3 linked regions of the Pelodiscus sinensis genome follow. The protein of the gene in region 1 interacts with the protein of each later gene in a pairwise test. Links are inferred from orthologs where the notes say so. Each region holds a gene or a part of one and is shown in the gene's direction. Other genes may lie near its edges.

Region 1 (6,972 bases):
AACTGAAATTAGAATTCCCACTGTGCTAGGCACTATACACGCATAGATCTTAGAAAACTGTTGAGTTTCCAGATCTGTGAGACTTCAGCCAGCCCCAGCTCTGTGTGTAACTCAAGCATTGGCAGCAAATAAACTTGAAAAACTGTAGCTGCAAATGTTAGAGGCTCTTCATATTCAGAACTTCTGATGTCTTTGTCAATGAACAGATTACAACGAGTCCGGTGGCACCTTAAAGACAAACAGATTTAATTGAGCAAAAGCTTTCGAAGGCAAAGACCATGCCCAAATATATATGTTAGTCTCTAAGGGCATGTCTACACTAGCAAATTATTTCAAACTTATTTCAAAATAATAACTTCCAAAATAACTATTTCAAAATAAGCATTATTCTTCATGGAGAGAAGGAGTTATTTCAAAATAACGGTCTTGGCAGTGTGGATGCTTCACTTGTTATAAGGGATATTGCAAAATAACTCCCTAGTGTACACCAGACCCATGGTGCCACAGGACTCTCGATTGTTTTTGCAGACACAGATTTACACAGCTACCCATCTGATTACTACACTAACAGATAAACAGTAATGTTAAACTTAAGTCTTAAGCCCATCGTACTCTAATAGGCTCTTGTAGAATCTAATATATCCCTACCAGTGTATATATCCAGTGACCCTGTCCTCTGAGAATATCTTCTGAACTGTAGTTCTTTGAAGCAGGGATGATCTTTGTTTTTGCACATTGTACAGTGCTGAGGATATTGCTGGAACTAAACAAATGATATAATAATTAGACAACAAGAGATCAACAATACTGAGACGTGAAAAAGGAGAAAAAAAAGCGTATAGGACGGGGTAAGAGAGCTTCCCCAGGTTGGTCCGGCCCGCCAAGCAAGTTGATTCAGCCCACGGACACCTTGCCTCTCCCCTACTCCCAAGCCAATCATTGTGTGGGGATAGGGGAGCATGCAAAATCTCCTCCCCCACCAGGGGCATGTGGCACATAGAGTGAACCATCAGCTGAACAGGGGCAGGGGCAGGGAGTGAGAGACTTTGCACGCTACTATGCCCACAGGGGTAGGGGAGCGTGCAAAGTCTCTTCCCGTTGCCAGGGGTGCGGGTGCCTAGAAGGAACTGCCAGCTCTTCAGAACAACTGGCAGTTCTCTCTGGGGGCTGGTGGTGGAGGGGTGGCAGGGGCAGAGACTTCACTTGCTCCCCAACCGCCTGGCCAATCAGGGACTGTGGGTGGGGAAGCACAGAAGTGTCCTGGTGCCACCCCTTCCAGGGCAGCCCAGGGCCACTTCAAGAATTTATGAAGTGGCCCCCCTTCTAAAATTATTGTCCACCCACTGTATAGGAGAAGAATCCTCAGGGATCTAAAGGTGTGAGGAGAATCCCACAATGAAGATTGTTAACTCAAGTATCAGAGGGGTAGCCGTGTTAGTCTGAATCTGCAAAAGCGGCGAGGAGTCCTGTGGCACCTTATAGACTAACTGCAGTGTAGGAGCATAAGCTTTCGTGGGCAAAGACCCACTTCGTCAGATGCATGCATGCATGCGTGCATCTGACGAAGTGGGTCTTTGCCCACGAAAGCATATGCTCCTACACTGCAGTTAATCTATAAGGTGCCACCGGACTCCTCGCCGCTAACTCAAGCGGTCACTTTTTCTAGTATTACAAGACATTGAAAGATGATTATTTTTTCAAGTCAGAGTATTCCAGAGAGGTTTATAAGTGAGAAATAAAGAACAGCATCATCATCAGAAATAGGCTATGGAATGATCATGCCTGCTGAGTTATCAAGTGGACTTTACGCAGGCAAACACTCAAGGGATTTTTTTTTTTATTATAGCTTCTGATCTGCTGCAAGACAGATTGTCTATATGTAGTATTGGTGTTAATAACAATTGCAGGTGATTAAGGCCTTCCTGTTAAAGGCCTTCAAGTGAAACACAGAACAATCAAGTACATGGGGCTTTTATACACAAAAGCCAATCTTATGGTAAACACATAAATCAGATCACAATCACTTCTAATCAATTTCACTTTATGGAGTAAGTTTTCCTGATATTCAGAGATACGAACACAAGTAGTACAATAGCAGTTCTTATGCTTAGTTTTTTTATGTTAATTACCAAATGAGCAGATTTGATGGATGTGACAGATTGAGATACATTACATCTTATGGCTTTATCATAATCAGTGCATAGCTAGTTTAAAATGTATCTGTAACAGTTTAATAGATTATCTAGCATTTGTTAGAGCAGGTGTCTTATTTTTCTCCATCAAGTAATTATTTTCAGTTTTTCAGTAATCAAGATGAACACTTTAGAAACTATTACAATATGATTAGGAAAATCATTTCTTGGCCTAAAAACATCTGAGTAACTAAAAAGTAACTGGAAAAACTTAAACAATGAATAGTCTAGCAGCACCTTAAAGACTAATAAAACATGAGCTTTCATGGGCACACCACACTTCTTTAGATTAATTTGGGTAACTCGGCTACCCCCTGAAGCTTTTGAACATAACAAATAAATGTATTTTTATTGTAGTCCATTTAATTTTCTATTGGAAAGTTTCAGATTTCAATGTTGATGCCAAAAAAATTCATTTAGGCATCAATTTCCAAGACCTCAACATTGTACTCCCTACTCATTCAGGCTCTTTGATTGGTCTACTCTTGTGAGTAGGGATAACCACTAACATTTATTTATATATTCGCTACCCCATTTACCTGTTTCTGCACAGAGCTTAACACAACCAGGCCCCAATCCTGCACAGGACTTCTGTGTGCTATGTTATGGTAAATAACACTGTATTACAGTGCTGCTGTGTGTTGCAGACTACTAAAAGTCAACGCATAGTCTCACTGACAGCAATACTATATTGTGTGAAACTGCAGGTATATATACATCAATGTTACTGGCCTGCTCTCACATCTGTGACTGTTTTGGTTTAAGGCAAATGCCAGTTCCCTTGGAGAAATGTAAAATTCCACCCCTTGGTGAGCACAAAGCCCCATTACACTGTGCACCTTCTCTTACAATCAGAGGTATTCAAGCCATGAAGCATCATTACAATTATTACTGAACATGGATGCTAGATGCTCGAGGTGCATTAAGTAGGAAGTTTTTTAAACTACTATTAGAGTTACTTAAAAGATGCTTCAGTTTGCTCATGGCCGTGATAAGCGGAGCTGTCACTGTCTCCTCGGGGAATCCAAAACGTCAACAGCAGCCTCTTTTCCCTCCCGAGCCCCACTTCTAGGTCACACGTTACTCCCACACACGGTCCTCCAAGTAACTCGGAATCATGATCAGCCTGCTGTAGAGTCACCTTCCCCGCCCTCTTACTCGAATAAGCTCCCCCCGCTCGTGGACAACAAACACTAAACCCATCACCGCCCGCAGCGCCCCAAGGAGAAAAGGAAGTAAGTGGGTGGTGTTTGGGGGGCACCGAAAGGGCATCGGTGCTGCGCTGGGAGGCAGCGGGCAGGCGCAGGCACTAAACGCGCGGCGCGAATGAGGCAGGAGCCGGCCGGCCAGAGGCTCAGCAGCCCCAGAGCCGGCTCCGAGCCCCTGACTCTCTCACAGACCCGCTCGGGCAGGGAAAGTCCCGCCCCTGCGCCAGATTGGCCCTGTCAGACAACTCTGCCCTAGCGCCGATCTCTGATTGGCTGCGGCGCCCATCATTCCACACCGACCCCACGGACCCAGCTCGAGGGTCTCTCGTACCTCTCCCAAGCTCCGATTCCAACCGCCGCCGCGACGAGCCGAGTCGGTGCGTGAACCTCGCCGGCTGGGAACGAACTCAGGAAACCCCGCGTACTGGGGGGGAGGGAGGGGGGAGAGAAGAAGATAAAAACCCTCCTGCGGCGCCGCCGCCGCCCCCTTCTCGTTCCTTAGTTTTGATGTCGCTGTTGTTGGTGGAAGTGACGTCAGCACCCGAGACTTCCCGGAAGCGGAAGCTGTTGTCAGATTCGTGTTGGCAGATTCTGCACGAGCCGAACCTGGCTAATGGCCAAGCCTAAATGTTAGTGACCCTGCCCCGCCCGCGAGAGCCGCCCGGCAACGCGACCTCGCTGTAGGGCTGACCCAGAGTGCGCTCTGGCGGGTAGGCGGCGGAGAGCGAGCGATGAATCTGCCAATGCGGACGCGGTAGGAGGCGGTTCCCGCGGCTGGGCTTCAATTGCCGGTAAAATACAAACCGCCGCCAGGAGCCTCCGGTGGGTGCGGGGACGGCGCAGCCGCTGCGGGGGGAGGTTCCTTGAAAAAGCGGGCGGAGTGGCAAGAGGGGGCTTTCTCTGCGTGCCTGGTGCCACCTCCCGGCCCCGCCGCCCCGCGTCTGTTTCAGTCTTGGCCCCGCTCCCCAGAGCTGGGGCGCCGAAGTTTTCTGTACTTCGTCCCGGAGGCCGGGGCGGGCAGGGACCCTGCGTCCCTTCGCTTTGTTCTGCCGGGGCCCTTAAGTCTCCTTCCCCCGCAGAGCGGCGGGCTGGGCGCTGGATTCTCTGTAGGATTCTTGGCGAATTCCCGTGAGAAATGGTCCTGGGCGGGAGAGGGGCTGAGCCATAAGAATGGCCAGACTGGATCAAACCAAAGGTCCATCTAACCCGGCGGTTCCCAACCTTTTTCAGAGGGGGACCAATTTTGAGAAGTCAGCAAGACTCGGTGACCCAGGGCAATTCAGAAAAAGTGTGAATGGCTCCTTAACAGCCACCTGGGGAGACACCTGGCGACCCTTTTGAAGTGTAATGGCGACCCATAGGCTGGGAAACCCTGATCTAACCCAATTTCCTGTCTGCTGACATAGCAGTGGTCAATACCAGATGCCCTAGACTGGGAGGGAACACAACAGGTCATCATCAAGTGATCCCTCCTTTGTCATGCATTTCTAGACAAACAAAGGCTAGGGTCACCATTCCTACCCATCCTGGGTAATAGCCATTGATGAATCTAACCTCCATGAATCTAGCTAGCTCTCTTTTGAATCCTGTTAAAGTCCTAATCTTCACCACATCCTCTGACAAGGAGTTTCAGAGGTTGACTGTGTGCTGAGTGAAGAAAAACTTCCTTTGGTTTGTTTTAAACCTGCTGCCTATTATTTTCATTTGGTGACCCTTAGTTGTTATTTTAACGGAATAAGTATTTTCCTTATTCACTTTTTCCACACCAGTCATGATTTTATAGACTTCTATCATATTCCCCCTTAGTCTCCTTTTTTCTAAGCTGATAAATCCAAGTCTTTTTAATTTCTCTTTATAAGGGACCCATTCCAAACCCCAGTAATTTTTGTTGCCCTTTTGTGAAGCTTTTCCAATGCCAATATATCTTTTTCGAGATGAGGCGACCAGATCTGTGTGCAGTATTCAAGTTGTGGGCGTATCATGGTTTTGTATAGAGGCTACCCTTACTTCTGTAAACCTCAGAACTGGGAATCTGGAGAGTGGAGGCTGTTATTTTGGAGCCCGGTAAAGACAGCGCCACTCCAGTAAGCAGCACGGAGATAAGGATGACCTGGTAGGGTATTGCCACCCTTTTCCATTGCTGCTTGCAGGACACTGTCTTACAGGCTGGGCATTTGACTAACAGCTGCCACTCTCCAGCCACCCATATCTTAAGGCAGTGCAGAAGTTAGGGTAGGAATGTTGCACACTTCCCCTCCACCCTATAACCTCTTGAGCCCTCTGCAACTTCCTTTAGGGTCAGGATACTGATCTACCCATGAAATCTGTATAACAATGATCCCCAACTGCTGGTCTGTGGACTGGTGCTGGGCCACAAATCTCTGGCTACTGGGCTGTGGCGGCTCTGGGGCCGGCGCTGGGGTACACTGCCAAGTGCTTCCCCTCCCGCCGCAGCTGGTGGAAGAGACATTTTCTGCTCTGCCTCTCAGCCAATCAGCACCAGGCAGGGACAGTGTTTCCTCTGGGATACAGAAGAGCGGTTCGCTGCGCAGCAGGAGGGTCACACAAAGCCTAGCATAGCAGCCTTAGAACACCTGCAACCTGACAGCAGTGCTCAGCTGGTGGCTGGGATGCAGCGCAGGGCTAGTTGGGGAGGGAGGGTGCAGGGCAGGGCAGGCACTGGGTGCTCTGGGGGTAGGGCTAGCTCCAAGAGGCCAGGGACTGGCTTTGGAGGGGCTCTGCAGGTGGAGCTTGTACTGGGGAGCTCTTAGTGGGGAGTTCTAAGAGGTGAAGAGCTGACACTGGGGGGCACTGGGGCATCTGTGGTGGGGAACTGGCACTGGGCGGATTCAGGGGCAGGGCTAATAGTGGGGGAGGTCTATGGGGCAGGGCTGGCACTGGGGGACTCTGGGGATGGGGCTAATATTGGAGTCTGGCACTGGGGGAGTTCTGGGGGTTGGGTGCAGTGGGGCTCTTGAAAAAGGAGGCTGGCACTAAGGGACCTGGTGGTGGAGGGCTTTAAGATATGGGGGCTTGGCACTGAGGCATTTGGGATGGGGGCTGGCATTGGGGGGCTCTGAAGATGGGAGTCTGGCACTGGGGAGGATTGGGTGCAGGGGACTTGGGTCAGTGGCTGGCGCTGGGGAGTAGTGGAGGGTTCGGGGGGTTCTAGGGTTTAGAGCTGGCGGGGGATGGGGGAGGTAAGGGTACCTCTCGGAGCCACTGCAAACAGCCAGCTTCAGCTGCGCCAGCTGCCTGCTATGTTGCAACTGCCGGAGCTGAAGCCAGCTGTTTGTGGTGGCTCTGGGGGTTGGGGCTTTTGGCGCACCAGTAATATTTTATTTGTGCATTCATTATTTGCATACTGAATATGCAAATAAAATGTTACCGGTCTGCCAAAAGTTTGTGGATGGGTTTACTGGTCCACGGTATAAAAAAAGTTGGGAACCACTGCTATATAGTATAGGGCAAACTAGGGATGGCAAATAATTTTTGATAGAGGGCTACTCCAAAAATGTGGTAAGTGGTCAAAGACTGCAATCATTCATGACATTAATGGAGGAGGAATGAGG
Region 2 (7,692 bases), on another chromosome or scaffold:
AAAAGTACTAACAAAGTCAGTACAAACCAAAATTTCATATAGACAACTACTTGTTTATACTGCTTTATATACTATATACTGAAATATAAGTACAATATTTATATTTCAATTTATTTTATAATTATAAGGTAAGCATGAGAATGCAAGCACTATTTCAGTAATTCAGGAAACTCCCACCTTACGATGGCCCGAGTTCCAATCCCCTGTACTTAACGGCCATTTTTTTAAGTGCGGAAGGGGCTGAAATCCCCACCTTATGTCCTCAGCCTACTGTAAATGTGGGTTCGAGTTACGATGCCCCCAACTTGCGACACTATCCCAGGAACCGATCGAGTCGCAAGTCAGGGGCAGCCTGTAGTATGCTATGGCTCTTTTGAATTTTTATGTCTGATTTTGCAAGCAAGTACTTTTTAAGTGAGGGGAAAGGGTTGCACAAGACAAATCAGACTTCTGAAAGGATTCAGTAATCAGGAAGGGTTGAAAGCCATTGATCTGGGACAACTGCCTGTATATATCACAGGCCACTAAACATCACCCAGTCACTCCCACACTAAGCCTAACTACTAGAATTAGACCAAAGTATCTCAGCTCTCAAAAAACAAACTATTATGCACCACAGGCAGAGAACACAAGGGACTGAGATGCTGGAGCAGCTGGAAATGGAATTGGTTAGAGATGGAACCTAAAAATGGCGTGGAATTGTATGTAGTTAATGAATAAAAGATCCCCTTGCTCACTGCCCTAACTGGAGCCTCTTGTTGTTACTTTATGTTCTTGTTCTTACTCACTTAATTCAAAGGACAATAGGATTGCGGGAAGCATTACAGGCAGGACTCTGAGTTGGAACTCAGCAGCTCTGCAGGTGCAAACCAATTTAAATTGGGGAGCTGGCTTGGTTCCCTTCAATCAGGAATTGAAGATGGAGGGGAGTGGCGACACAGTTGGGATTCCCCCAATTCTGCACCCCTGTAGCAGCAAGAACAGATTCCACCAGCAGTAGAATAGAGGGGTTTTATTGCTTTTCTAGGATACAGTACAGCATAGACGTGATGTGATAAGAATCAGGGCCAGGATGTTTCAGACCCCTTGGGTTAGGGGCATAGGTGTGCACAGCACATTTCATTAGGGTGTGCACCCAAATCATTTTTTTTAAATGTACTCTTTGACCCCCATTCGCCACGCCTCTGGAGCTAATACTTTCAGGGCAATATGGACACATGACCAGAAATAAAAGGTTTCATGTGACATCCCCCCCAAGGACTTTTCCCACCATCCTCCTACCAATAGGGATAAGTTTGGCCCTCACCAAACCCCCCTCATGCAACTATCCCACGACTGCATTAACCCATTGGCTGAGTCTACATTGGAACCCTTTTCCGGAAAAGGGATGCTAATGAAACCAGTCGGAATTGCAAATGCCGCGGGGGATTTAAATATCCCCCGCAGCATTTGCATGAACATGGCTGCCGCTTTTTTCCGGCTCGGGGCTTTGCTGGAGAAAAGCGCCAGTCTAGACGGGATCTTGCGGAAAATAAGCCCTTTTCCGGAAGATCCCTTATTCCTACTTGAAAGCCTTGCTCCACCCCTGCCTTCCTCATGCCCACCCCTTCTTTCAAGTCTTCTCCCAGCACCTCCCTTTCTCCCCTCTAGCCCCCAAAGCCCTTCCTCTCTCCTCTCCTAGCATCATCCTGTCCCCCGCTCTCATTGACACTTCCCCTCCTGCCCTTTTCCTCATTGTCTGCACTTGGCCCCCTGGCATTTGTGTCTCACCTCCACCCTGTCCCTTGGTGCCATCTCCTTTCTTCTCCTGACCTGTCCCCCTCCCCTCAGCACAAGCCCCTTCCTCTCTGACCCTTTCCCCCTATTTTTCCCTGCCAGATGGTCTGTAACAGAGTTCTAGGGTCGCCCTGACTATCACCCTTCTGGTGCTCCCCCTACTCTGTCTTTCTTAGGTTTCTCAGCCTCCTTTTGGGCCACAAACTCCCACCCCACAGTCTCTGGTTCCCAAAGTTCCAGCAGTCTCCCCATCACTTAGTGCCTGCACCGGGTCTGACTCGTAGGATTGCCAGGACAGTCTGGTTTTTGGGCCCTCTGTCCGGTAAAAAAAATCCAGAAAATACCCGACACATGCAATGTCTGGTATTTCCTGGTTTTCCGGCTGAGCGCTAGACTGAAGCCTGGCGGCAGCGGGGGAAATGACTGAAAGGTGGGGCGCAATCGGCACTGGGAGCCTCTAGTTGAGTCTGACTTCTTGGGGAGGAGAAGAAGCTCTATCTCTGAGCATGTTGTGGAGCTGCAGCTGGTAGGATTACCAGGTAGACCACCCCCCAAAAAACCGGACACACTTAATCATGGACCGGGGGGAGGATGGCCAGGAGAAAGGGGTTTGGTGGGAAGCAGAGCTGGTCGGGAGGCCAGGGGCCGCAGGGCTGGCCGAGAGGAAGGGGGGCCAGGGGAAGGAGGTGCAGGAAGCAGAGCTGGGGGGAAGTGTTGAGGAACGCCAGGTTGGCTGGGAGGAAGAGGGGGGATGGGAAGCAGTTCTTGGAGTGCGGGGGCCAGCCACACTGCCCCCGACCTCAGCCCCACTCCTCCCCGGACCAGCCGCGCTACCCCCGACTTCGGACCCCCCCCTCCCTGGGCCAGCTGCGCTGCCCCTGGGTTCCCCCGACCCAGCTGTGCTGCCTCCGGGTCCGCCCCCGACCCCAGCCACGCTGCCCTCGACCCCGGCCCCCCTCCCTGGACCAGCTGTGCTGCCCCCGACCTCCCCACTCTGGGTCAACTGTGATGCCCCCGGACCAGCCGTGCTGCCCCCCGATTCCCCCGACCCTGGGCCCAGCCGCACTACTCCTGACCCGAACCCCCCCAGCAGCTGCACTGCTCCCGATCCCCTGCCCAGAGCACGCCCCCACCTGCCCGGGGTTTAAACTTACCTCTCTTGCCTAGGACGCGGGGTGAAGATGCTGCTCCCTGCCACCTGTTTCTGTGAGGTCCTAAGACCCGCTGGTTTTGGCTGCGCATGCGTGGCAAACCCTGCGCAGCGTCCGTTCCCCAGCGCACCAGGGCGGCCCTTTGAAACATTTGGGTGTGCCTGGGCACACCCGGCACACCCCGTGTACACACCTATGGTTAGGGGTCTATCACCCCTAGCCCTCAGCCCCAGTAACCTTAGTCTCTCTCCCTCATGGTTCCAGCCTAAGACTGACCTTTCCCCCAGGGCACACTTCCTTTGTCCTGTCTCTTTCCTTAAAAAGTAGAACCGGTTTGGCCACTGTCCTGAGGCCCCTCTTGCTGGGCTGTGCTTACAGACAATCGCCAGCGGGGATCCTCCACAGCCCACCGCCCAAACATTGCAACCAGCAAGGTACTGACACTACATCACAAAATGTGGGGGAGTCAGTGGGAATCACACATCACCACACAGGGGGACCCCGGGATACAGAGCCAACATCCTCCCCACTATGCCACAAGGGGTCATGGAAATGTGGCAGGGGCAGATGAGGACAGAGGAGCTCGGGGAGGGGGCCAGGGGAAGATAAGAACAGAGGGGCCGAGGGAACGGAGGAGGCGGGGCAGATGAGGACGGAGGGACCAAGGGGGTCCAGGGCAGATGAGGATAAAAGAGCCGAGGGGGGGGCGGGGCAGATGAGGACAAGTGGGCTGGGGGGGGCAGGGCAAATGAGGACGGAGGGGGCAAGGGGGTCCAGGCCAGATGAGGACAAGAGGGCTGGGGGGGCGGGGCAGATGAGGACAAGGGAGCTGAGGGGGGGTCCAGGGCAGATGAGGACAAGGGGTCTGGGGGGGCAGGGCAGATGAGGACAAGGGGTTTGAGGGGAGGTCCAGGGCAGATGAGGACAAGGAGGCTGAGGGGGGGCGGGGCAGATGAGGACAAGGGAGCTGGAGGGGGCGGGGCAGATGAGGACGGAGGGGCCAAGGGGGTCCAGGGCAGATGAGGACAAGGGAGCTGAGAGGGGGCGGGGCAGATGAGGACAATGGAGCTGAGAGGGGGCGGGGCAGATGAGGACAAGGGGGCTGAGGGGGTCCAGGGCAGATGAAGACAAGGAGGCTGAAAGGGGGGCAGATGAGGACAAGGGAGCTGGGAGGGGGCAGATGAGGACGGAGGAGCTAAGGGGGTCCAGGGCAGATGAGGACAAGGGAGCTGGGGGGCAGACAAGGGAGTTGAGGGGGGCAGACGAGGACAAGGGGGGGCAGGCGAGGGGACTAAGGGGGCAGACGAGGGGGCTGAGGGGGGGCAGGCGAGGGGGCTGAGGGGGGCAGACGAGGACAAGGGGGGGCAGGCGAGGGGACTAAGGGGGCAGGCGAGGGGGCTGAGGGGGGGCAGGCGAGGACAAGGGGGGCAGGCGAGGGGGCTGAGGGGGGGCAGGCGAGGACAAGGGAGCTGGGGGGGCAGATGAGGGCGGGGCGGGGCCGCCTCTCACAATTGCGGTCGGGGGGGGGGGTAAGTCTGCCCGGCGCGAGAGGGGAGGCGCTGCCCGGCCGGAGGCTGCGACCGGCCCCTCGGGCCAGCGGCGGGGCGGGGCGGGGCGAGGCCGAGGCCGGCGCTCGAGAGCCGCTAGCTGCCGGCGGGGGCCGACGCTGGGGGCGCCCGCGTGTGGCCCCGCCCCGGCCCGGCTGGCGCAGGCGGCGCGAGCGGGAGGCCTGGGCGCTGCGCGAGGCTCTGCTGCCCCCGCGCGGGCTGGCGCCGGCCGCAGCGGAGGGCGGGGGCGGGGCTCTGCGCCACCAGGCAGCAGCAGCAAGGAGGAGCCCGCGCGCTCGCGCCCCCTACCCCGCCAGCGCCGCGGCCCAGCACGCAAAAGCGCACGTGAGCCGCCGCGCCATCGCGGTGTTTCTCGTCCCTCCCCCCGCGGCGGCGTGCTGATTGGCTGCGGGGGCCAGCGGCGACGCTCCCATTGGCTGAAGCGTGCGGCGGACTCCGTGTCCCGCGCGCCAGTGCGCGCGCAGCCGAGGCGGCGATGGTGCGGTTCAAGCACAGGTGAGGCAGCGCTCCCTGCTCCGCGCGGCCCCGCCCCCTCCCGTCGCGCGCTAACGCGGCTGCCTCGCCTTGCAGGTACCTGCTGTGTGAGCTGGTGTCCGAGGAGCCGCGCTGCCGGCCGTGCATGGACGAGCGGGCGGTGGGCGCGGCGGTGAAGGAGGCCATTGCCCGCGCCCACGGGGACTACGGGCTGGCGTGCTGCTCCATCTCCTTCACAGGTGCGCGCCCGCCCGACCCCCGGTCAGGCCAACGGGGGCGGGGGGGTCCTGGAGGCCAGTGGCTGCTAAGGAAGGAGGGCTCGGGAGGGACTCGCCTTGCCCCCTTGCAGTGGCTTGTTTCCTTTTAATGGTGTGGCTGCACGAATGTGGAACTAGAACATGAGCTTTTGCTTCCTCCCTAAAAGCGACTTGGAACTTCAGCAGTATAAGAGAGGAGGTTCTGTGAATAAACCAGCATTTCTGAATTACACTCTAATGTTAAGCAATTAAATGTCATTTGTACTAATCAGTTATTTTCTGTGCCCAGTGAAATACCTGAATGCCTACACAGGCATAGTTCTCTTGCGATGCCGAAAGGACTTTTATAGGCTCCTCTGGTCAGCTCTTCCCTTTGTCACTTACTTAGAGAACAGGAACCAGCGCTATTCCTGTTTTTTCAACACATTACATGTTGGAGGTAAGGTTTTCAAGAGTGTTTTTGGTAGCTTGTGACACTTCAATCTCAGAACTTTGAGATCTTGAGTGTCTTACTATTCTTGCAATGATTAGAAAGTAGTGAAGAGCCCTGTTGTTTAATGTTTCTAGTTGTGACAGAAGGTGCGCTCAGATTCTGCCTCACTGAGGCTAATACAAATTTCCCTTTAATGGCTTGAAATAGATAATCCAAAAGCTAAAACATTTTTTGTTGTGCTGAGGCCTCTATACCTCTGGTATTTTTTTCATTCTGCTGAATTGTTCACTACTCTGTTCATTATACTGTTTAAAAACAAAAGCCCACCTACTTTGCATGTGTGACTATTTTCCTAACCCCTATGAATTCAGTATTTACATCAAAGAGCTGGCCACCCCCATCAAACTTGGGTACCATCTGTCCTCAGGAAACTTTTGATTAAGTCTTAAATGAAGGAAAACGACACCTGGTATTGCTGCGGTTTGCAAGTTTGGGCAAATAAGTGTTAACAAATATCAAACGGTGGGAAGTAAGAGTTTTCCTTGCTGTTCAGCCTGGTTTCTGTAGTTTATGGTCTGTGATGTTCTTGTTTTTTGATCCATAACACTCCTACTTCCTGGTTGAACAGGGAGAATACATTATATCATTAAAATGTACTTTTGCTCTGCTCTGTAGTGTTTAATTTGCTTTAGTTCTCTATCATACAGACTTTGTTCCCTTGTTTCTTCAACAGGGACAATAAGAACATGTCAAAAATTTTTAGTTCAGTACAACAGGAAACAGCTCCTGCTACTATTGCATAATTGCACCAGTGAAGGTAAGCGGCTGCTCTATTCCTACCTTTCAAAAAGGACTTTGTTACACATGGACTTTTGGGGACTTGGGTGTTGTTGCAGCCTCTGGTTATTTGGTAGAGCTGGCTGTCTTATCACTGTAGCTATGTAACTCTGTTCTTCCCTCTGAAACCTATTGAATAATGAATTTTTTTCATACTATGCCTCCTCATCATTGTTACAGAGGAAAGACAGTCCATCCAGAAGTCTCTGCTAAGCTGTTCCCTTACAGAAGTGGAGGAGGAGCATTTTCACAGTGGAGATGAAGAAGACTGTGTAGAGACAGACTGAACATAAACTTTAAATCTAATGTGGTGCTTTCTGTAAGGCACTGGGAAAACTACCCTGTTAAAAGATGTCTTGGGCTGCCTGCCCTGTGCTAAGTAAATGAGAATCAAGGCATCTCTAACTGTATTTTGATCTTGTGAAAATAAAGGAAAGGGTAAAACGATTTCTGGTGAAATCACTGGGCAGCAGCCTTAAAATTCAGCTAATGCAGCACTTTTATTTAAGCAAAAGCCTGAATCTCTTCAAGCCAGGAGAGGGGAAATGGAAGGCTACCTTTCAACAAGTTGTCCCCTGGGACACAAATTCTATTAGTTAGAGCTTGCTTAGTTTTTAAAACAGGCCTAAAGACTGCTCTAGGTTAAGCTCCTCCTCCAACTATACCTATCTCTGGGAATCATTCCGGTATTAGATCAGGATTACTTTTTTACAGTAGCTGAGGTGAAACTGAGTTAGTATCCCATAGAGGTTATTTCTTTGAGGATTGTTATAGTGCCCTGCTTCTGAAGTCTGTGGCTAAACCTGTTTGACAGTTAGATGTCTTGAGTAGCTGCCCTGCTACCATCAAGAGACAATACTTATGTCTGGGTATTGATTAAAATGTGTTGGTAATGTATTCAAACTGCTGAGTAAATTGTACTGAAGGAAAGATGCACCATTGCTGCTTTGAGAATGAATCATCCTGAGAGTGGGTGTTTTGCTCTCCACTATTTATGGAAATTCAACCTTCATAAAGTTTAGGCTGCAAAACACCCAGGGCTAAAGCGCATAGCACATCCAGGTTAAAATAGTCATAGCTGTCAAGGGAGGATTGGAGGCATTGTTAAAGGAAAGTTCTATGCATATTTTTATTCAAATTGCCTCAAACTAATTCAGTTTCTCAAGTGGAAGAGCTGGTATAGACAAGCTTGAGAG
Region 3 (7,121 bases), on another chromosome or scaffold:
CCTGAGACAACCCGCCTCAACAGCCTCGTTGGCCATCTCCCCCCTCACACAACCCGCCTCGGCAGCCTCGTTCGCCGTCTCCCCCTCACACAACCCGCCTCGGCAGCCTCGTTCACCGTCTCCCCCTGAGACAACCCGCCTCAACAGCCTCGTTGGCCATCTCCCCCCTCACACAACCCGCCTCGGCAGCCTCGTTCACCGTCTCCCCCCCCCACAACCTGCCTCGGCAGCCTCGTTCGCCGTCTCCCCCCTCACACAACCCGCCTCGGCTGCCTCGTTTGCCGCCTCCCCCCCACATAACCCACCTCGGCAGCCTCGTTCGCCGTCTCCCCCCTCACACAACCCACCTCGGCTGCCTCGTTCGCCGTCTCCCCCCTCACACAACCCGCCTCGGCTGCCTCGTTCACCGTCTCCCCCCCACACAACCTGCCTCGGCAGCCTCGTTCGCCGTCTCCCCCCTCACACAACCCGCCTCGGCTGCCTCGTTCGCCGTCTCCCCCCCACATAACCCGCCTCGGCAGCCTCGTTCGCCGTCTCTGCAGAGCAAAGGGGAAAACCCAAAGGATGACAATGGCGGGGGAGGAGGGAAGGAACCGGGGCGTCTAGTGAAACACAGATTGGCTGGGAGTGAGGAGGGGGATGCAGCTGTGAACAATCCGAAGATCGTTGTGGGGCGTATTTACAGGCCCGGTGTACGTGAGACGTGGCGGGTAATTGCCCTGCTCTGGGGAGGCCTCCTTTGCTATTCCGTGGCCGGGTCTGGGCCTGGCGCCGTGGGGAGACCATGGACCGGTTGAGGAGAGTCCAGAGGGGAGCAACAAAAATGAGAAAATGTTTCGAAAACCTGACGTGGGTGGGACGGTTCCAACGCCTGGAGAGGTTTGGTCCTGGGGGGGACTTGACAACAGGCTTCAGCTCTGGCGAGGGCGAGGCTGTCGTCACAAGCCTGGTGCCCCGGGGCTCCCCCATCCCCTGGAATAGGGCTCACGCCGCAGCCGCAGGGCTGGGTTAGACGCAAGGAACATTTGCTGGCTCTCGGGGGAGGGAGCTCTGGAGCAGCATCCGGGGAATCCCCATGGGTGGAGGCTGGGGGAAGACGGTCAGGGCTGGGCTTTCGACTCTTGGAGGTCCTTGCTAGAACGACGTCTGATTGGAGCAGCCTAGGAGCATCTCTCAAGTGCAGATTGGCTACCCCCCCCCGGGCCATCGGCCAAATGGAGAAGGGCGGAGCTGGGGGAGCTGGCGGCGCAGGGGCAGATGAACCCGGCCTCTGTGTCTACTGGCAAGTGCTCGCATTGGGAGACTCTCCAGCTGGGCCGAGCTGCCCTTTGATCTGCCCAGAGGGGCTGGGATGGAAACCCCTCCCCCCCCGCTGCACATCGTACCGTGGACTGGACGATACCCAGGCTGGGGCTGCGTGTGGCTCCGCGGCGGGGCGGCTGCGGGGCAGCGTGAGGGCACTGCCAGCCCCTCCGTGAGCTCTGGCCGGCCGAGAGGAGTCCGTGGCCCAGTGTGAACTGTCCCGGCTCAGCGCGGGTTAGATCGGAGGGTTGGCCCGGGCCCGCCTCTGCTGGAAACCTGGGTCCCGCCAAGCAGGAGGAAGCCACGTCCTAGCGGATTTCGTCCCTAACTCCTGCGACAAAGCTCCCCCTCCACCTGGGGCCTGAGCTCTCGGGGGTTGACTTGCCTCCCTTCAGACACCGGCTCGCTGTTTGTGGAGACTCCCATCGCAGGCCAGCACGGGGAAGAGGGGAAACCAAACTTCCTCGTCTTTGCTGCCCCTCCCGGGAGTGCAGGGAGGACAAACCCTTGCACCCAGGGCCGGATTAAGGCATGAGCTAGCCAGGCAGCTGCCCCAGGTGCCAACCTATGGGGGGCGCTGGATGGCAGCTGTGAGGGGCGCTGTGCAGCCGGGCGCGTGGCACCCCTTAGAGCTGCCATCAGGCGCCACACAGCCGGCTCCCAGGGCAGGGGCTGCGTTAACCCCCACGGCGCCGGCCAGCAACGCCATTACCCGCATGGCTGTGGGGCCCTGCACGGCCAGGCTCGTCCCGCCCCAGGCGGCCCCGGGCTGCGCACCAGCAGCAGTAGCCAGGCTGGGCCGGGCCGGGCACGTGCATCCTGCCGCCGCCAGCTCCACGTGCCCTCCCCCTCGTGCTGGGCGGGGGCGGGACCATGCATGCACCCTCCCCCGCACACCAGCACGGGGGCGAGGCCGCGCATGCACCCTCCCCCAACCCAGGGCACAATTGAACTATCTGCCCGGGGCGCCGGAATGGCTTGATCCAGCCCTGCGTGCACCCAAACCGGTTCTTCCTAGTCGTACAATGGGGAGCTGCTGGCGAGAACCGGGCCTGTCCTTTACCGCAGGCTCCGGCCCAGGGCCCCCGCAGCAGCCGCTGTCTGGAACGTCTCTGGTAACCGCTACAAATCCACAGGCCACTTCCCCACGGGCCACGCCCTTCCACCCTGGTACCCACCTGCGCTTTCTCCTCCCAGCCTCCCCCGCCCCTCACTCTCCTCAGCTCCCTCCTCGCAGCAGAGCAAGCAGAAGGAAAAAGCCCTTTTAAACCAGCCTCAGTCCGGCCCCTGTGAGTCTGGAAGCCTCCTGCTTGGTGCTAAGTGTTTTCATTGGCCTGATTGCGCTGACTGATTCTAGCAGGTTCCTGCTGGTTCTGGATCAGCCCTCGTTAGTCTAGGCTGGGAACAGAGACCTATTTAATCCGGGGCTAATAGATTTCCCCTCCACTGCTCCCCGGTAGCCCGACTCGGTCACACTCCCCACTCACCGCGTGCCGTGGGGCCGGGATTTGACCCTGTCGATGGCAGAGCCGCATTATGACTTTGGTGGGCCATAGGCACCTTTGCCTTCGTGGGCCCCCCCCCATAATAATATCAATTGTAAAAATGATTTTTGATATAACTTTAAATACTTCAACATTTTTTTTTCTGTTTTAGGCAAAATTGAATCGATTTTCGTGGGCCCTAAAAGTTTCATTTTTTTCTGATGTGAGAAAAATATTAAAACATTTTGACTATGTTCCCACTCGCGGCTTCTTGCGCAAGTAATATGCAAATGAGGCTAAGCGTGGAATATCGCCGAGCCTCATTTGCATACCTAATGAGCCACCATTTTTTCAGAAGAGGCTCTTGCGCAAGAAGCGTCTACACTGCCCCTCCTTGCGCAAGAAAAACCCTTTTGCGCAACGCCGTTCTTCCTGTCAAGTAATAGGTGTAACGGCGTTGCGCAAGGGGGCTATGTCTAGATTGCATCCCTCAGCACGGAGCTTTGCCGGAAAAAAGCGCCAGTCTAGACGCGGATCTTTCGGAAAATAAAGCCTTTTCTGAAAGCTCCCTTATCCCTTATTTTAAGAGGGCCTTTTGGAAAAGGCTTTATTTTCCGAAAGATCCGTGTCTAGACTGGCGCTATTTTCCAGCAAAGCTTCGTGCCGAAAAAAAGCGGCAGCCATTTTTATGCTAATGAAGCGGGGGAGATTTAAATCCCCGCTTCATTAGCAATTGCGATACGTCTAATTTGCATCCCTTTTACGAAAAGAGGGTGCAATCTAGACGCAGCCGAGGGTTTTTCTTGCGCAAGAGCCTCTTCTGAAAAAAATGGTGGCTCATTAGGTATGCAAATGAGGCTGGGCGATATTCCACGCTTAGCCTCATTTGCATATTACTCCCGCAAGAAGCCGCGATGCAGACGTAGCCTTTCTTCGACCCTAAAAGGTTTTTTTTCCTTCTGATTTTAAAAGAAATTAAAACATTTTCGTGGGCCCCTAAAAGTATCGCGGGGCCCAGGCACTGAGCCTACTGGATACGTCGGCCCTGGTCGCTGGGCTACCGGGGAGTCGCAGCTTCACCCCAAGCACAGCAGCCAGCTTCGGCTGTACACGTGGGCGCGGACACGCGTGGCCGCCCGGGAGCCCGTTGCGGGACAGTTTAGCTCCCTGGCCGCTGGGACTTTCTTGGAATGTTTCTGTTTCCAGCGCCCCTTGTTCTTCTGCCATGACTCACGTCCCCTCTCGCTGTGGCTTTCCTCGGCCGCCCCCAGCGCTTCCCCTGCGGCTGGCAAACCCCGCCCGGACGGCCCCTCTTCCCCCCACCCCTTCCCCCGGAGGATCACCGCAGGGTCTGACACCAGCTCCCCCCGGGCCAGCTGCGCCCCGCGCCCCACAGCGCGTGGGAGCCACGTTTCCTCTCCGGGCCGTTCCTAAGTTTCCCGAGTGCGCACGGGAAGGGGGGCGCACGGATCCCAGCGGGCGCTGAAAGCCGGGTCCCTCCGAAGCGGCCCCCGGGCTGGCGGGGCGAGTGGCCGGGGCAGGCTGGGGCCCCCCGGTGGCGCAGAGGGGCAGGTGCGCAGCGGGGTGGGACTGCGCGCCCCGCCCGCCAATGAGCGCAGCGCAGCGCCCGGGCTGCCTGGGGAGCCGCTGGCGCGCAGGAGGAAGCGGCGCGCAGCATGGCCGAGCGGCAGCAGCATGAAATCCCCGCGGCCAGGCAAGTCCTGCGGGACAACTACAGCAACCTGCACAGGCTGGCCGACTACTGCGAGAGCAACTACCTGCAGGTAGGCGGGGCCCGCGGCTGGGCCGGCCAGGTGCCGAGATCCCGGGCATCTCACACTTAGGGGCATGAAGGCTCCGCAAAGGGGCAGCTGGGCCGGCTCTGCCCAGTAGAAAGGGAAGGACAGAAAATGATCTTGCCTTTGGGGAGGCAGTACGGCCTAGTGGCTAGCGCCCCACACGCCGAACTTGGCTTTTGGCCCCGTCCACACAGCCCCCTGCACTGGGATCAGACTTGCACATCGCGCCTCTTATTTCGAAATAGGCAATTTTGAAATCTGGCCCGTCTCCACGGCGCCGAAGTTCGAAATAAGAGGCTCTGTCGCACCTTCCCTTATAGCGCCCGTTATTTCAAAAAATCTCCCAAAATAGCCGTGCAGTGTAGATGCAGCCTGCGAGAAATCGCTCCGTCCGTTGTGCCGCGGTGTCCGTCTGTCCTGCGTGCGCTGCCTGTAAGCTCAGAGGGCCGAGTAACCGTGTCTGACTGTGGCCGTGTTCTGGGGGGAGGTGCAGTCTTAACTCAGATCCGACCCTAAGGGGAACCTGATCTTCAACTTGACTTGCAAGTGTCCACCTGGCGCCTGCCTTCTCTTCCCTGGGCCCTGGCTCGCTCACGGGAAAGGCAGGTCTTTGCAGAGCGACGCCAAGCCCCGGGGCAGGTAGCTCCTGCATCCTCCTTACAGTCCAATGAGCTCCAAGTAGAGGGGGAACTAAAGCATAAGCAGATGAAGTGACGTGCCCAAGGCCACCGGGGTTGTGGGTGGCAGAATCCCGGTTGGACCTGGGATCTTGTGTCTCCACATGCGGTATCTATCCGCTAGCTCCCCCCAAAGCGCTGGGCTCTGTGCCAGTAAAGATCAGATCAACCCTAACAAGGTTTCCCCTCGTTCATTTCTAGCCCTCCGCACAGGGCGTTAACGGGGACGCCTGCCCAGTTCCTCAGGTACAAGTGGGGCGGGAGGCGGGGAGATAGGACACTTCCGTGGGGGGGGGGGTTGTTCCGCGTGGTGACATGTGTCAGGAAACGCAGAGGTCGGCGCTGAAAGTCTGCACCTGTGAAATAGCAGAACCTCCCAGGGGCACGAGCAGCAGCCTCGGCTCCCCGCTTGGTCCCCGCGAGAATGTTCCGAGCTAGTTCTGGGGTGAGCGGCTGTCTGGTGTGACTGCTTCCCGCCCAACCTGCGGCGTCATTCCCTGCTCTGAGCGCCCGGCGCTGGAAACCCACCGCCTCCCCTTGCCCGACGGGGTGGGAGCGCAGTCCCGCAACCGGATCTTATTTCCTTGGCCCGTGAGAGCTGAGAGCAGGGCTCCCTGCTGGTGGCTGCTCTACCGAAGAGGTTACAACCCAAATACACCAGGGGAGCAGGGTCCTGATTGTACAGGAGGGGGGCCGAGGTACAGAGATCCAGGTCCCAATTCTCAAAGGGATTTAGGAACCGCACTCCCTTTGATTCCCATGGACGTGAGGTGCCTAATTACCCTGGGAAGGTCTGGGCTCCACGCTCAGATGGCAGAAGCAGGAGTTGAATCCCAGTGCCCGGAGTCGAAGTCCAGCGTGCCTGCCCCCCCTCGTCCAAGAGGGCTCCAAAGAGCTGTCTGAACTCCAGAGGGGAGGGATGAAACTCCTCCCTCTGAGATGCAGCCACTTCTGGGGTGGAACACAGCCAGCCCTGCCCAGCCCGCCAGGGCACAAAGAAGAATCGCGCCGCGACCTGTTGGAATTTCCATGCCCAGCAAGACAGTGTTGGGAAAAGGGCCAGGACAGAAGCACATTTTGGATGCCCACATCTGGCCAGCAGCTTGGTTTTGCGCCCCCAGCCCGGGCTGAGCCAGCACTGTGACGGCGCAGCGCCCCTGCCAGACGGCTCGGCTGTGGGCCGGTTCCCAAGCGCGCATGAAGCTAACCCGCCCCTGCTTAGCTGGAGAAGGCACCTTGCAGGGCCTCAGTTCCTAAAGGAGATGAGGTTTTACAGCTGGATCCAAAGCCCATGCAAGTCAATGGCCAGTCCCCGCAGCGCCCTCCACATCATGCTGCAAAGGAGGCTCCGTTTCCTCCTGCCCCAATGCAGGGTTCTAGGGCCACATCTGTACGCACGGCTGGGTGGGGACCGGGGCGAAGGCATGGTCTGTTGGCAGAAGCCGCTCGCCCGCGGACGTAGCGCCGGGCCCACAAAGGTGGACTAGTCACCCCCCGAGTGCCACCCGTCGCGCCACCCGAGGCCGGAGTGTGGAGCCAGCCTAGGTGTGTTTCCCCCTCCCGAGGGACAACGCTCTGGCCTCCCTGCCTGCGACAACAGCCGGGCAAGGCGGGCGAGGCAGCACCTTCTCCGGCACCATAGAGGCGCGTTATCAAGCTGCACAGAGCTGGGAAGGGCAGTTTGGCTCCTGCTGCACCCGAGATTGGGTCCCGTGCAAGATTCCCCCTCCCACCCCACTCCCGCCTCTCTCTAATCTTCGGGGACCAGCCCCACGCCGCCGCTGGCCAACGGGGACTGATGGTCGCCTGTGTCCTCCCGCCCAGGGCAGGGCGGTGCCGTTTCAGGCAGACAGTGACAG

What was found.
Region 2: the proteins of CEP44 (region 1) and POP5 interact in binary tests that used the Homo sapiens proteins (3 or more experiments, as listed by UniProt). The two-hybrid records come from large-scale screens. The link is inferred for Pelodiscus sinensis from reciprocal best matches to the Homo sapiens genes CEP44 and POP5.
Region 3: the proteins of CEP44 (region 1) and ABI3 interact in binary tests that used the Homo sapiens proteins (3 or more experiments, as listed by UniProt). The two-hybrid records come from large-scale screens. The link is inferred for Pelodiscus sinensis from reciprocal best matches to the Homo sapiens genes CEP44 and ABI3.

Annotation. Positions count from the first base shown.
Region 1 is NC_134715.1:68,963,268-68,970,239, forward strand, and holds the start of CEP44 (centrosomal protein of 44 kDa), read left to right. Parts: upstream 1-3,969; 5' UTR 3,970-4,110; exon of another isoform or gene 4,111-4,222; intron 4,223-6,972. Other genes in the region: FBXO8 (F-box only protein 8), read right to left, coding at 649-736. UniProt on the Homo sapiens protein: Centriole-enriched microtubule-binding protein involved in centriole biogenesis. In collaboration with CEP295 and POC1B, is required for the centriole-to-centrosome conversion by ensuring the formation of bona fide centriole wall.
Region 2 is NC_134725.1:8,837,550-8,845,241, forward strand, and holds the start of POP5 (ribonuclease P/MRP protein subunit POP5), read left to right. Parts: upstream 1-4,686; 5' UTR 4,687-4,970; coding exon 4,971-4,990; intron 4,991-5,065; coding exon 5,066-5,208; intron 5,209-5,515; coding exon 5,516-5,665; intron 5,666-6,392; coding exon 6,393-6,476; intron 6,477-6,676; coding exon 6,677-6,783; 3' UTR 6,784-7,692. UniProt on the Homo sapiens protein: Component of ribonuclease P, a protein complex that generates mature tRNA molecules by cleaving their 5'-ends. Also a component of the MRP ribonuclease complex, which cleaves pre-rRNA sequences.
Region 3 is NC_134739.1:14,542,435-14,549,555, forward strand, and holds the start of ABI3 (ABI gene family member 3), read left to right. Parts: upstream 1-4,115; 5' UTR 4,116-4,462; coding exon 4,463-4,570; intron 4,571-6,044; exon of another isoform or gene 6,045-7,121. UniProt on the Homo sapiens protein: May inhibit tumor metastasis. In vitro, reduces cell motility.